Linked DNA regions of Drosophila melanogaster. The protein of the gene in region 1 interacts with the protein of each later gene in a pairwise test. Each region holds a gene or a part of one and is shown on either strand. Other genes may lie near its edges.

Region 1 (3,425 bases):
CTAATGCAGTCCGAACTGCATTCCGACGAGGAGCAACCGGACGTGGAGGAGGTTCCTCTGACGACGGAGGAATCGGAGATGGATGAGCTGATAAAGCAGCTGGAGGACTACTCGCCCACCATACCAGACGCCCTCACCATGCACATCTTGAAAACGGTAGCTATATACCGGAAACTATTCTTTGTAGCATTTCTAATATTGGATTAAATCTGCAGGCTGGCTTCTGCACAGTGGACCCCAAGATAGTGCGCCTCGTCTCGGTGTCCGCGCAGAAGTTCATCTCGGATATTGCCAACGACGCACTGCAGCACTGCAAGACGCGCACCACGAACATCCAGCATTCCAGCGGACACAGTTCCAGCAAGGACAAGAAAAACCCCAAGGACAGGAAGTACACGCTGGCCATGGAGGACCTGGTGCCGGCACTCGCGGACCACGGCATCACCATGCGCAAGCCGCAGTATTTCGTTTAGATTTAGTTAAGCTCTAAAGTTTTGAATTGGGCACACAAATATAGCTAGTTTTCTTCAAGTTGTAAAAACATTTTAGCGAGGCACTTTCTTTATTAGACAAACTAGAAATTTGGAGCTACGATGTTAAAGAATTTGTTAGCCAACTCAATGCCGAAGAAGCAGGCAGCGTTGGCTGGGAAGGCTCGGAGCATGATGGGCGTCACGCCGCGGTACAAGGCCAGAGGTCCATCCTTGACAATCAGATCCTTGAAGACACTGCGTATGCCGTGCTTGTAGGTGCCTTCGGGAGCCGATTGTAGGCGGCTCTTTAACACGTCGGCTGGCATGCCCAGAATCCAGTAGGCCATGCCCGCCACTCCACCTGCGAAAATCGTTGAGGCAGTACTGATTTGTCCCGTCTCTGACTTCGACTTGGCCACATCCTGCAGCGCCTCGTAGACCAGGAAGTACAGCCCGTTGGCGGGCAAATCCCTGAGCATTGTGGCGCAGCTGCCCTTGAAAACGCTGCGAAGTCCACCCTCCTTGTATAGCTTGCCGGCGCAGTCGATCATGCCGTTGTACTTGCGCTCGCCACCCTGACCCTGCTGCGTCTGCAGGAGCACCTTGATGCGCTCGCCGGGTGCCATTATCAGGGTGGAGAACAGGCCGGAGAAGGAGCCGGCCACGAAGATTTGCGGGTAGGTCAGCTTGGCGTCCTCGCCGCGCTGCTGCAGCCGCTTGCCCAGCGCATAGCCGGCGAAGCACATCGCAAAGATCGGAGCAACGCCCGTCAACGGTGCGGACATGCCCTTGTACAGACCGCGGACGCCCTCATTTTTGATCGTCTTGGCCGCACAGTCGAAGGTGCCGCGGTACAGGGGCTGCTCACCCGGCGCCGGACGCGGCATGGTCTGCAGGCGCACCTTGATGGTGTCCAGCGGATGGCCAGAGAGCACATTGCAGATCCCACCGAATCCGCCGGTCAGGAAGGACTTCACTGGATTCGCTTTGCGCTCCGTGGACACGTTCTCCGTGGTGGTCATGGCTACAGGTTGCTATTGCTCTGCTCCTCCTTCACCTTCACCTTAACGGCCGGCAGCTGCTCGATTTCGGAACTAGTGTTGCTGTTTTCTGGCAAGTCAAGTGGATTATTGGAATTTGCACCTAGCCGATAGTTTCGAACTAATCTTGAGCATTCTATAGCGATAAGGAGCGCGGCAACATTACGTCACAAGCTGTTGATGTTCCCACAGATGCAGTGATTCTCCAGATAAAGATACTGGACTGCACTGATATCACAAAAATATTGCCACGGAGCAACTTGATCTTGCGATCAAAAGAGTAGTTTTTCTGGTTTGAAGATCTCTATGATTTCCATATGTTGCAGCAGGGTTCAAAGTCCACCTATGTGCACCTCCTTTGAATTGAATTTTCACTAGCCCTACAGCCCTAATTAATTAAAGCGATCTATGGCACTAAATACTTTTGCATTTCCCTGTAATAATTTGTTGATGTTTTTTTTAAATAATAAATAACATTATAGCGACGCAGGTGTGAGAGCATTCGAATACCCTAAATTTGCCGCTCTGTGTGAATTGTCTGAAAACCAAGTTGGCAGCGCTATTTCGATGTTCTTGTCAACCGGCCGGAATTTCTTTCGTGTTTTCAGGTGAGTTCGTGCGAAATTGGCTTAATTATCTAAAGTGCCGCGATTATATACTGTATTTACGCTGCAGCTCTCGCCAAATAGCAAGCTGCAGTGCTAGAATGGCAAGCGAAGTGGAAAAATCGCAAACGGCAGCCGCCAGTGAAGACACCATTTTCGGCAAGATTTTGCGCAAGGAGATCCCATGCAAATTTATCCACGAGGATGATAAAGTGAGATCGCAGTCCATTTGGTTGCTAGAAAAAGATGTTACCTATCGAATCTTTCACAGTGCGTTGCCTTCCACGATGTGGCGCCCCAGGCACCAACCCACTTCCTCGTGATTCCTCGCAAGCCAATTGCCCAACTCTCGCTAGCCGAGGATGGAGATGCCGATCTGCTGGGACATCTCATGCTGGTGGGCCGCAAGGTGGCCAAGGAGCTCGGCCTCGCGGATGGCTACCGCGTGGTCATCAACAATGGCAAGCACGGCGCCCAGTCAGTTTACCACTTGCATTTGCACTTCCTCGGCGGCCGCCAGATGCAGTGGCCACCAGGATAAGAAGCAGCCGATGGTGCAGCTACCAGATCCAAGATCATTTACACCACAGAGAATTTTTGAAATAAACTATGTGAAATGCTAAAACAAGTTACTTTAAATTCGCCATGTCCATAATTCCTAAAGAAAGCTTCGTTAGAAAAACGTAGTGCTACTTCATTTTTCCATAAATTTTATTAAAAAAATTGATGGGAAACTAAAAAATAAAAGGTCACAAGTGGCGGAAACTTAACAGTGGAAATTGCTCCTTGAACTCGATGACGCGGTTTAGGAAGCCGTACAGTTTGCCCTGATTACGGCTCTTGTCCACAAAGCTTTGGGGATCCAGGCAATTGACGAGCATCTCCTCGACGTTTAACTGGTGGGCAATGCTGCCCCTTCGACGCAGTGGTCGTCGCATCAGCTTGTCCAGGTTGGTGCCCACCACCAGAATGGGCGCATTATGGTTTTTCAATATGGAACGGATGCGCAGATGTCGATGCTTGCAGATCTGTCGCAACGGATCGTACAGCCAATCGTGCAGGCTGTCCTGGGAGCTCAGTTCCAGCATGTTGTACACGAGGACGATGCCGTCAATATTCTTATAGAAGCTTTCGCGCTGCTGGCGGCACATGCGCCAATCGCTGTTCAGGTCGTAGAACTCGACAAAGTACAGGATATTCGTGGTGGTGGGCGTACTCCGCATATACGGGTAATTCTCGGAGTCCTCCGACGAGGAGGGCGTTGTCCAGGTGGGCGTGGGCGGCAGGATCACCGGCTTGGAATACTC
Region 2 (3,755 bases), on another chromosome or scaffold:
AACAATTGGCTGAGCACTATACTAACCATCAGGCAGATCCTGCTTGTTAGCAAATATCAGTATGATGGCGTCGCGCATCTCCCTATCGTTAATTATCCTATGCAGCTCCGTGCGCGCCTCGTCTATCCGATCCCGATCCGCACAATCCACGACGAAGATCAGACCCTGTGTACCCGTGTAATAGTGTCGCCATAGCGGTCGAATCTTATCCTGCCCACCGACGTCCCACACATTGAACTTGACATTCTTATAGGTGACGGTTTCCACATTAAAGCCCACAGTGGGTATCGTTGTAACAGATTGGCCAAGTTTCAGTTTGTACAGAATCGCTGTGGGTGGACAAAAACAATATTACTTTAGACACGCAAAGGATGTATAAACAAAATAGCTCGAATTCGATTAGTGATAGTACTGGTGTACGTATTGAAAGGTCTTTATATTGTACATTTTTTCAAAGTACAATAAGAATAAAAACAAAACAATAATTGCCTCGCCTCAAGAGTATTTTTTAAATGGGATTGGTTTCCACTTAGGAAACTGATGAAACTAATGGGTACTAATCAGGCCCACAATCGAATTCGAGAACCCTTTATTGTTTATGTGCTTACTTGTTTTTCCAGCCGCGTCCAGTCCGAGCATGAGAATTCGCATTTCCTTGTTGCCGAAAATTTTTGATAGTAACTTTCCCATGGTGCTGATGTGTCATCCATTAAACCTTAGCCAATCTGAAAAACAGTTCGAGTAGAGTTGGCGAGGTCTTCCAAATAAGCATATCGATAAGAATAGCTGGGCGAGATTCAGGGCAGGGTCAGTGAATTTCCAGATAATAGGGCCATTGTAATACAGTTTGCAGTTAACATATCAATTTATGATATAAGAACGCCGTCGCGCGAAGGCGCGTAAGTGATATATGAACATACAAATGTAGCTACATATGTACACATACGGCGGGCACAGGCAATTTGGTGGCCATATAGAGCTTGTACGACGGCGGAAGCTAAGACCATTATTTTGCATAATAATTTCACTTACATTGTCATCAGCTCGTTGCTAAAAAGCGAGAAAAAAGTGGAGAGGCAGAATTTATCAGTGAAGAGCTTGCAGCACACAGTCGCACACACAAACACACGCACACATGCTTACACATAGGAAGTACAATTGGACAGATAAACACACTATAGTGTCTCGCAAATTGAGGCAGAGTTATCTCAATTGCGGGCTTATCGCTGGCTCCACTGAATGGGCGGGTGGATCCGACCGCTCCACCCCCGCCCCCTGAACAGCCACCGCACCCCTCGACGACCCAGTAAAGCCGGCTTGGGAGCAACGATATCGGATGGTTTTCGGATTCTACGGAATTTCGCTCGCTCTCTCGCTGCTGCTTGCCTACGTCACAAACACGCCCGTAACACACATACACATGTATACACACCCAAGTCTCCGACGACCGCCGTTACGCACCGCTTTCCAGCCCAATTCGTTCCACGCCAGCCTGAAATCCGTTAACATGTAGTGCCAAAGTGCGCGGGCCGGGGCATAAAATGCATTTGCTAGCACACGGCGGCCAAAAAACTATAACTAACAACAACAATTTTGCACTAATCTTCTTGTATTTATATACACATACACGAAGCAATGTGCCCGTTAGCGCAGAGCGGAACAAGATCTTCGGGAATTCCAGAAAATACGCTAAAAAATGCAAAGAATGCGGAGGATAAATACCAAAAATACTGAATTTATCAGATGAAAAACGGTGACTGGCGGGGATATCGTGATTTTTTGGCCAATAAGTTATTACTTTTGCAATTCAAAATTGAAAAAGATTTATTTTCTTATATTCATTTATTATTCATATTAATTTAGCAAACAATGTAGCTGATATATTCTCCTCGTACGTTCAACAATTTGTTAATTTTTTTTAATTTTAAAAATTTTTGTTTTGTGTATTTAGTGATTTGGTATTTTAATGTAGCCCTGGTGAACTTACAAAGCCCTAGGGCGGCCACACTGAAACCGATGATTGAAATCAAGTCGATTGATTTCAGTTTCCTTCTTTTGTATTGTTTTATATTTGAGCAATACTTACGATACTGACATCGCTCAGAGGTACAATGGAACTTAGTTAGTCGTCGACCAGAACAGACTCGGAAAACATGGCTGGCATTTGCCCCCGGGAGGCGGTTCGGGTGAAAGTGAAGGCAAGTGAAAGGTGGCCAGAAGGCGAGACAACAAAAGGGCTGCTTAGTTTGTGTTCCTCAATCTAATTTTTTTGAAATCGCCCACAGAAATGCGAACCCACTGCTCGGCCGGAGTGGCGAAAGTTTTCAGTGGACCCGCAGATCACCACGCTGGAGGTGTTGTACTCCCTGCTGGCCAAGGCCTTCGATGTCAAGTCGGACTTCTCCATTAAGTACAAGGCCTTTGATCCGGCGGGCAACGAGATCTACCTGGCCGTGCGCTCCGACTGGGATCTGGATGCCGCCTTTCTGAGGATTCACAACATTTCCATTCAGACGGCCTCAGAACCCTGCCTCACCCTGCAGATCGATGTGAAGCCATTTACGGTGGTCAGGGAGTGTGAGACCGAGGCCTCCCCGGGTAGATCCATAACGGGAGCGCCTGCTCCCGCAACTCCTGCACCTTTTGTACCCGCCCGCGAGCTTATGTCACCACTGCAGTCCTTAGGAGTCTCCCAGAAATATGTCCAGCACATGCAGACCAAACTGGGCAGCTCCATTCTGAATCAGATGGAGAAAACCTTCTCCATAGTGCAGAAAGCGTTTAACTTATCCGAGGAGCATATGGCCAATCTACCGCCACGGCCGCCCATGTGCGACAGCGAGTTCCGGCTCTTTCTGGACGCACTTGGTCAGATTCAACGCAAGGACGAGTTGCATAGGGTCATCTTCCTAGGAGGCATTGACCCCAGTCTGCGGCGCGTTGTGTGGAAACATCTGCTTAACGTTTATCCCGGTGGCGCTAACGGACTGGCACTTGATGGACACCAGCGTATGGAATTCATGCGACGAAAGTCTGAGCAGTACTGTCGTCTGAGAGACACATGGAAAGCGGCCGTGAAGCGAGGCAGTGTGGCTGGAGAACTGGCTTACGTAACGAGCATGGTAAAGAAGGATGTTCTCCGCACGGACCGCCTGCATCCATTTTATGCAGGCAGCGACGACAATCAGAACATCGCTGCGCTTTTCAATATCCTCACCACATATGCACTAAACCATCCATCGGTCTCATATTGTCAAGGCATGTCGGACATTGCTTCCCCGCTACTGGTTACCATGAACGACGAGGCACAGGCCTACATCTGCTTTTGTGCGATAATGTCACGTATGCGTGGAAACTTCATGCTGGATGGGATTGCAATGACTCAGAAATTTGCTCACCTAACGGAGGCGCTAAGTTTTTATGATCCTGAGTTCTGGGAGTACCTCAAGTCGCAGCAAGCGGACGACTTACTTTTCTGTTACCGTTGGCTACTGCTGGAGCTAAAGCGGGAGTTTCCTTTTGAGGATGCCCTTCGCATGCTGGAGGTGCAGTGGAGTTCACTTCGTTATCGATGTGATGGGGAGAAAGAGCTGGCGCTCTTTGAAAAGGTTAGTGCGAAACCCAAAGGGAATTGCTTAATTTCTAATCACCATGATTTTTCACAGGAATTCGTACCCATTACTGATGCCTCCGTGCCCAATAGCGCCAGCACTTTTTCCAGCTCCTACAGCGCTACGCCGACCAGTCCTTCCTAT
Region 3 (3,755 bases), on another chromosome or scaffold:
GCTACTAGCTAGAAAAATATTGGGTTTATCGGGGAAGCCCCATTGGAAACATTCGAAAAGGGATATGATGAAATAAGAGCTGGCCAAACGGGAAGCTACACTGGAGCTTAAATCTTGGTGTAGCTGGGATAGGAGTTGGTCTGCTGGGTCGGCTGTGGGATCAGCGGGCGCTGGATCTCACGGGATGCCTGGATCTGCTTGAAGAGCGAGTAGATGCCGTAGTAGAGATACCAGGTCAGCACTGAAAACGAGCGAATGGAGAAAAATAAGCATCGTGCCCAAGCGCAATTATAGAACGATCGCAGACCGTCGAGCGATAAGCGCAATGGGGATCCACAATTTCGCAACAACGGCCAGTGTGTATTGTGTATACCCATTTCCAGATAGAGCTTATGTATGTATGAAGTGGTGAGTCACTTACAGAGCAGGCCAACATCCACGAAAATGATTGGAAGAGCGCTCAGGAAAGATGTATTTCCGATGATCTGGGCCAGCATTGCAATATTGGTGATAATTCCAAAGACAAGCAGCACTCCATTGTTGATCAGCCAGGGCAGCAGGAGTAAATGGCGTTCCTGAAAGGCAAACGCTATTAGAACCATCTCTATCTCTAGTTAGTATGGTGTATGTACATATGTATTTGCAAAGAAACTTGCCGGTTTTTTTTACAGAATAGTGGGCTTTTAAAAAGGTCTAACTCTAGATATGTACTATAGTAGACACATATATACGCGATTGTACAGATTGCATATTGATACTAGACTTACCTTAACGGTACCTGCAACCAACATGGCCGAAGCCAGAAGATTAATCACCTTGAGCGCCAGGTAAACACTGAAAACGATGATTAGCACTGCAATAACCGCAAGAACAATGAAATACAATAAAAAATATACGATTGGTTGTGGGTGCACTCGATGGTTAGCCCTTACCACTGCGAATCTCGGTGGCCGTCTTGTTAGAATCTTCCGATCCCTTGGCGATCTGCTGCGCAATTTCATCGACGAATCCGAGGGCCAAGGACAAGAGGATCGTGGCCAAGAAGGATAGAATCACGCCCAGCCATCCAATGACCACACCATAGGTGTTCAGGCGCATACAGAAGACCCTGGACAGCATTCTGGATTCACTTGATTTCGTGCTAATGCGAAGATAAAGACAATTTTACTTCAGTTCGCCGGCGCAGCAAAATTGCAATTGCTTGATAAGTCGCAATTGGCTGACAATTAAAAGCTTTTGGGTACAGCGGCGTTGCCAGACTGGTTCAAGCAGTTGGTGTCGAAACTGTGACTTGTTCACCAGCTTTTAATGTGACTTTTTAACGCTAATTGTTTAAAATTCTTTTAATAACATTTTTATATTTTAAATATTTTTATGCATTTATTATTTGGCATGATAGTTAAAAAATATTTATTTATGTATTCATTAACACTGCACAGCAGCGGCTTACTTTCATAATATTTTTCAAGGTGCTAATAGTAGCTACATTACATATATAATACAGCATTAAATCTCTCTATTATTTTAAAGACAATTCCCCATTTTATTCATTTCACTCTTAAATGACGAAACATATGCAAACAAATTCATATAGTAAATGAGTGCACATATATTTTTTAAGAACATATCAGACGTAGTTTTTCCACGCTCGAAAAAAAAGTATTTTCGTGTTGCATAGTTTACGCAACCGTTTCTTCTGAGCGGCATCGGCATTTGCGCCACACTTATTATTTGATTCTTGCCCAGTGCGGTTGTGTTTCCGTGCGCTAGGTGTTCCCAAACCGGTTTAAGTGCCATACTAGCCATATTTGTATTTGGAAAATTCGCTGTAAACCACAGAGTTTCAAAATGAAAATCGATCTGACGGTGGAAAATGGCCCGTGCAATACCGATTTGCGGAGCTGGTGCCTGGGAATCGCGATCTATTGGCTATTGAGCATGACTTTCAACGTTATATTCGCTCCAAACGGTAGGAGAAATGCGAGAGGCGTGGCATTTGTTTATTTTCAGAAGCTGATTGCCCAGACTGACGCTATTTCCATAGAGAGACAATACATTCATGATGTTCACATGCGAAATAAACGAATGAGCTAATCCATTCGACACAAACGCGTTCCAATTCACAACCATTTTGGATACAACACCTCACCATCGATGACGACATCGCCGACAAATTCGAGCTGACAATTCATTTTAGGTGGCCCGAAATGCCATTTTCTCACAGGCTTGAATTTTCCAGCACAAAAAAGAAAATTAAATAATTTCCTTGGGCTGTGCATGGCGCAGAATTAAACTTAAAAGATTATTGGGTTTTAACAGTTGAACGCCATATGTCATAAAAACACTTAAAGCCCTGCATTTGTCCATGTCTCAAAGAAGTTCTATAAACCTTATTCTAAGCTGTTTTAAAAAGTTTGTCATATTTCATGTATGAAATGTGTTTAAAATATAAAAGAAGAATTTATGTTTTAGTTCTTTATGTATATGTACACATGTACATGAAGTGCATCAGTGCATCAATATGTACTCATTATATACGAAGATACATTTAGCAGTCGTGTTCTCAAATTTCAGACGGGAAGAAAGATAAGAGCACAGCAACGTTTTGCTTGGAATACATTGAGTCACTTATAAGCCCAAGTTTATGTTTACTTTCCACTAATTGTAACGGCTTTTTTTATGAATGAAATATGTACGTTCAATAATTTCTATTTAAATTCACTTGAATCCTTGCAGTTCTTACCTTTATTGGATTTGCCATCGTAGTAGTCGCCAATATTTGCTTATTGATAGGAACCCTGAAGGTAAATAAAATACAACCCATTCCGTTTTATTGAGTCAACGAAACCCAATCTACCTTTCCGAATTGCAGGAAAAGCCAATTCTGGTGTTCGTCTGGCTGATCTTCGCTGCCATTGAAGCCATCTCCTTTCCGTTTGCCGTCTTCGGGGTTATCTTCCACTACGGAGGATATCGCGAGGCTACCGGAATGAACAACGTTTTCGGTGCCCTGCTCGTTTACATCATCACATTTCGTAAGTATCGGCTATGAACATCAAATTGAGTTAACAAAAATGTACAGATCATACATATTCTCCGCTACACTTTCAGTATTGATCCTCTTCAGCGCACGAATTGTGTACTCCTTCTACCTCCAGCTGAAAAACAGCGAAGCCAGCAAACAAACACCGCGCGCCATGAATGTGGTTTAGTCCTTATCATTCTACACTACATAAATTGTCGGGGAAGAGCCCACCGTTCGTTCATCTCAGTGTTTGCAATAAAATGCTTTGTTTTTTATTTGATTGCAGTTTGTCGTTAACGCACATCTCTTACTCACATCGACTTGGGATCAACTATCAACAGTTAAATACATTGGTTACATACATATACATACAGGGTGCTATTGGCTATTGGGCTACCGCGTTCTTAAACATTCAACATTTAAAACGATCGATCACACTACGGACAATTATATACTCTCGACACAGTTCTCTATCTATATAGCTAGCTATCATACTCGGCATCGTCTTCTGCTCCAATCTGCTTACTTAGACATAAAATGGAAAGTTGGTCATCTTATTGTTGCTGCTGTTATTGATGTTTTGCGACTGCGTAAAGCTCGTCTCGGCATTTTGGGTAGTTAGCTTAGCCTGCACGGCCGCCAGTATTCGCACAGCCTGGCCAGTACTGCCCGACTCCATGGCAGACTCCATACCTAGGTTCAGGTTCAGCTTGAGCTCGAAGTGTGACCC

What was found.
Region 2: the proteins of HINT1 (region 1) and Arf6 interact in a two-hybrid assay, tested with the Drosophila melanogaster proteins (one large-scale study listed by BioGRID).
Region 3: the proteins of HINT1 (region 1) and CG15083 interact in a two-hybrid assay, tested with the Drosophila melanogaster proteins (one large-scale study listed by BioGRID).

What each region holds. Positions count from the first base shown.
Region 1 is NT_033779.5:2,768,071-2,771,495, forward strand, and holds HINT1 (histidine triad nucleotide binding protein 1), read left to right. Parts: upstream 1-2,064; 5' UTR 2,065-2,080; coding exon 2,081-2,121; intron 2,122-2,123; exon of another isoform or gene 2,124-2,188; coding exon 2,189-2,330; intron 2,331-2,389; coding exon 2,390-2,659; 3' UTR 2,660-2,834; downstream 2,835-3,425. Other genes in the region: Taf10 (TBP-associated factor 10), read left to right, coding at 1-156, 216-473; colt (congested-like trachea), read right to left, coding at 575-1,495; CG15399 (uncharacterized protein), read right to left, coding at 2,868-3,425.
Region 2 is NT_033778.4:15,320,419-15,324,173, reverse strand, and holds the start of Arf6 (ADP ribosylation factor 6), read right to left. Parts: upstream 1,674-3,755; 5' UTR 1,462-1,673; exon of another isoform or gene 1,433-1,461; intron 1,372-1,432; exon of another isoform or gene 1,144-1,371; intron 1,051-1,143; 5' UTR 1,033-1,050; intron 726-1,032; 5' UTR 691-725; coding exon 609-690; intron 330-608; coding exon 27-329; intron 1-26. Other genes in the region: CG8155 (uncharacterized protein), read left to right, coding at 2,154-2,198, 2,286-3,608, 3,666-3,755. UniProt on the Drosophila melanogaster protein: GTP-binding protein involved in protein trafficking; may modulate vesicle budding and uncoating within the Golgi apparatus. Promotes cell movement and remodeling of the actin cytoskeleton during compound eye morphogenesis.
Region 3 is NT_033778.4:18,833,544-18,837,298, forward strand, and holds CG15083 (uncharacterized protein), read left to right. Parts: upstream 1-1,719; 5' UTR 1,720-1,848; coding exon 1,849-1,969; intron 1,970-2,736; coding exon 2,737-2,804; intron 2,805-2,872; coding exon 2,873-3,035; intron 3,036-3,111; coding exon 3,112-3,212; 3' UTR 3,213-3,299; downstream 3,300-3,755. Other genes in the region: CG15098 (uncharacterized protein), read right to left, coding at 108-241, 422-575, 768-853, 933-1,119.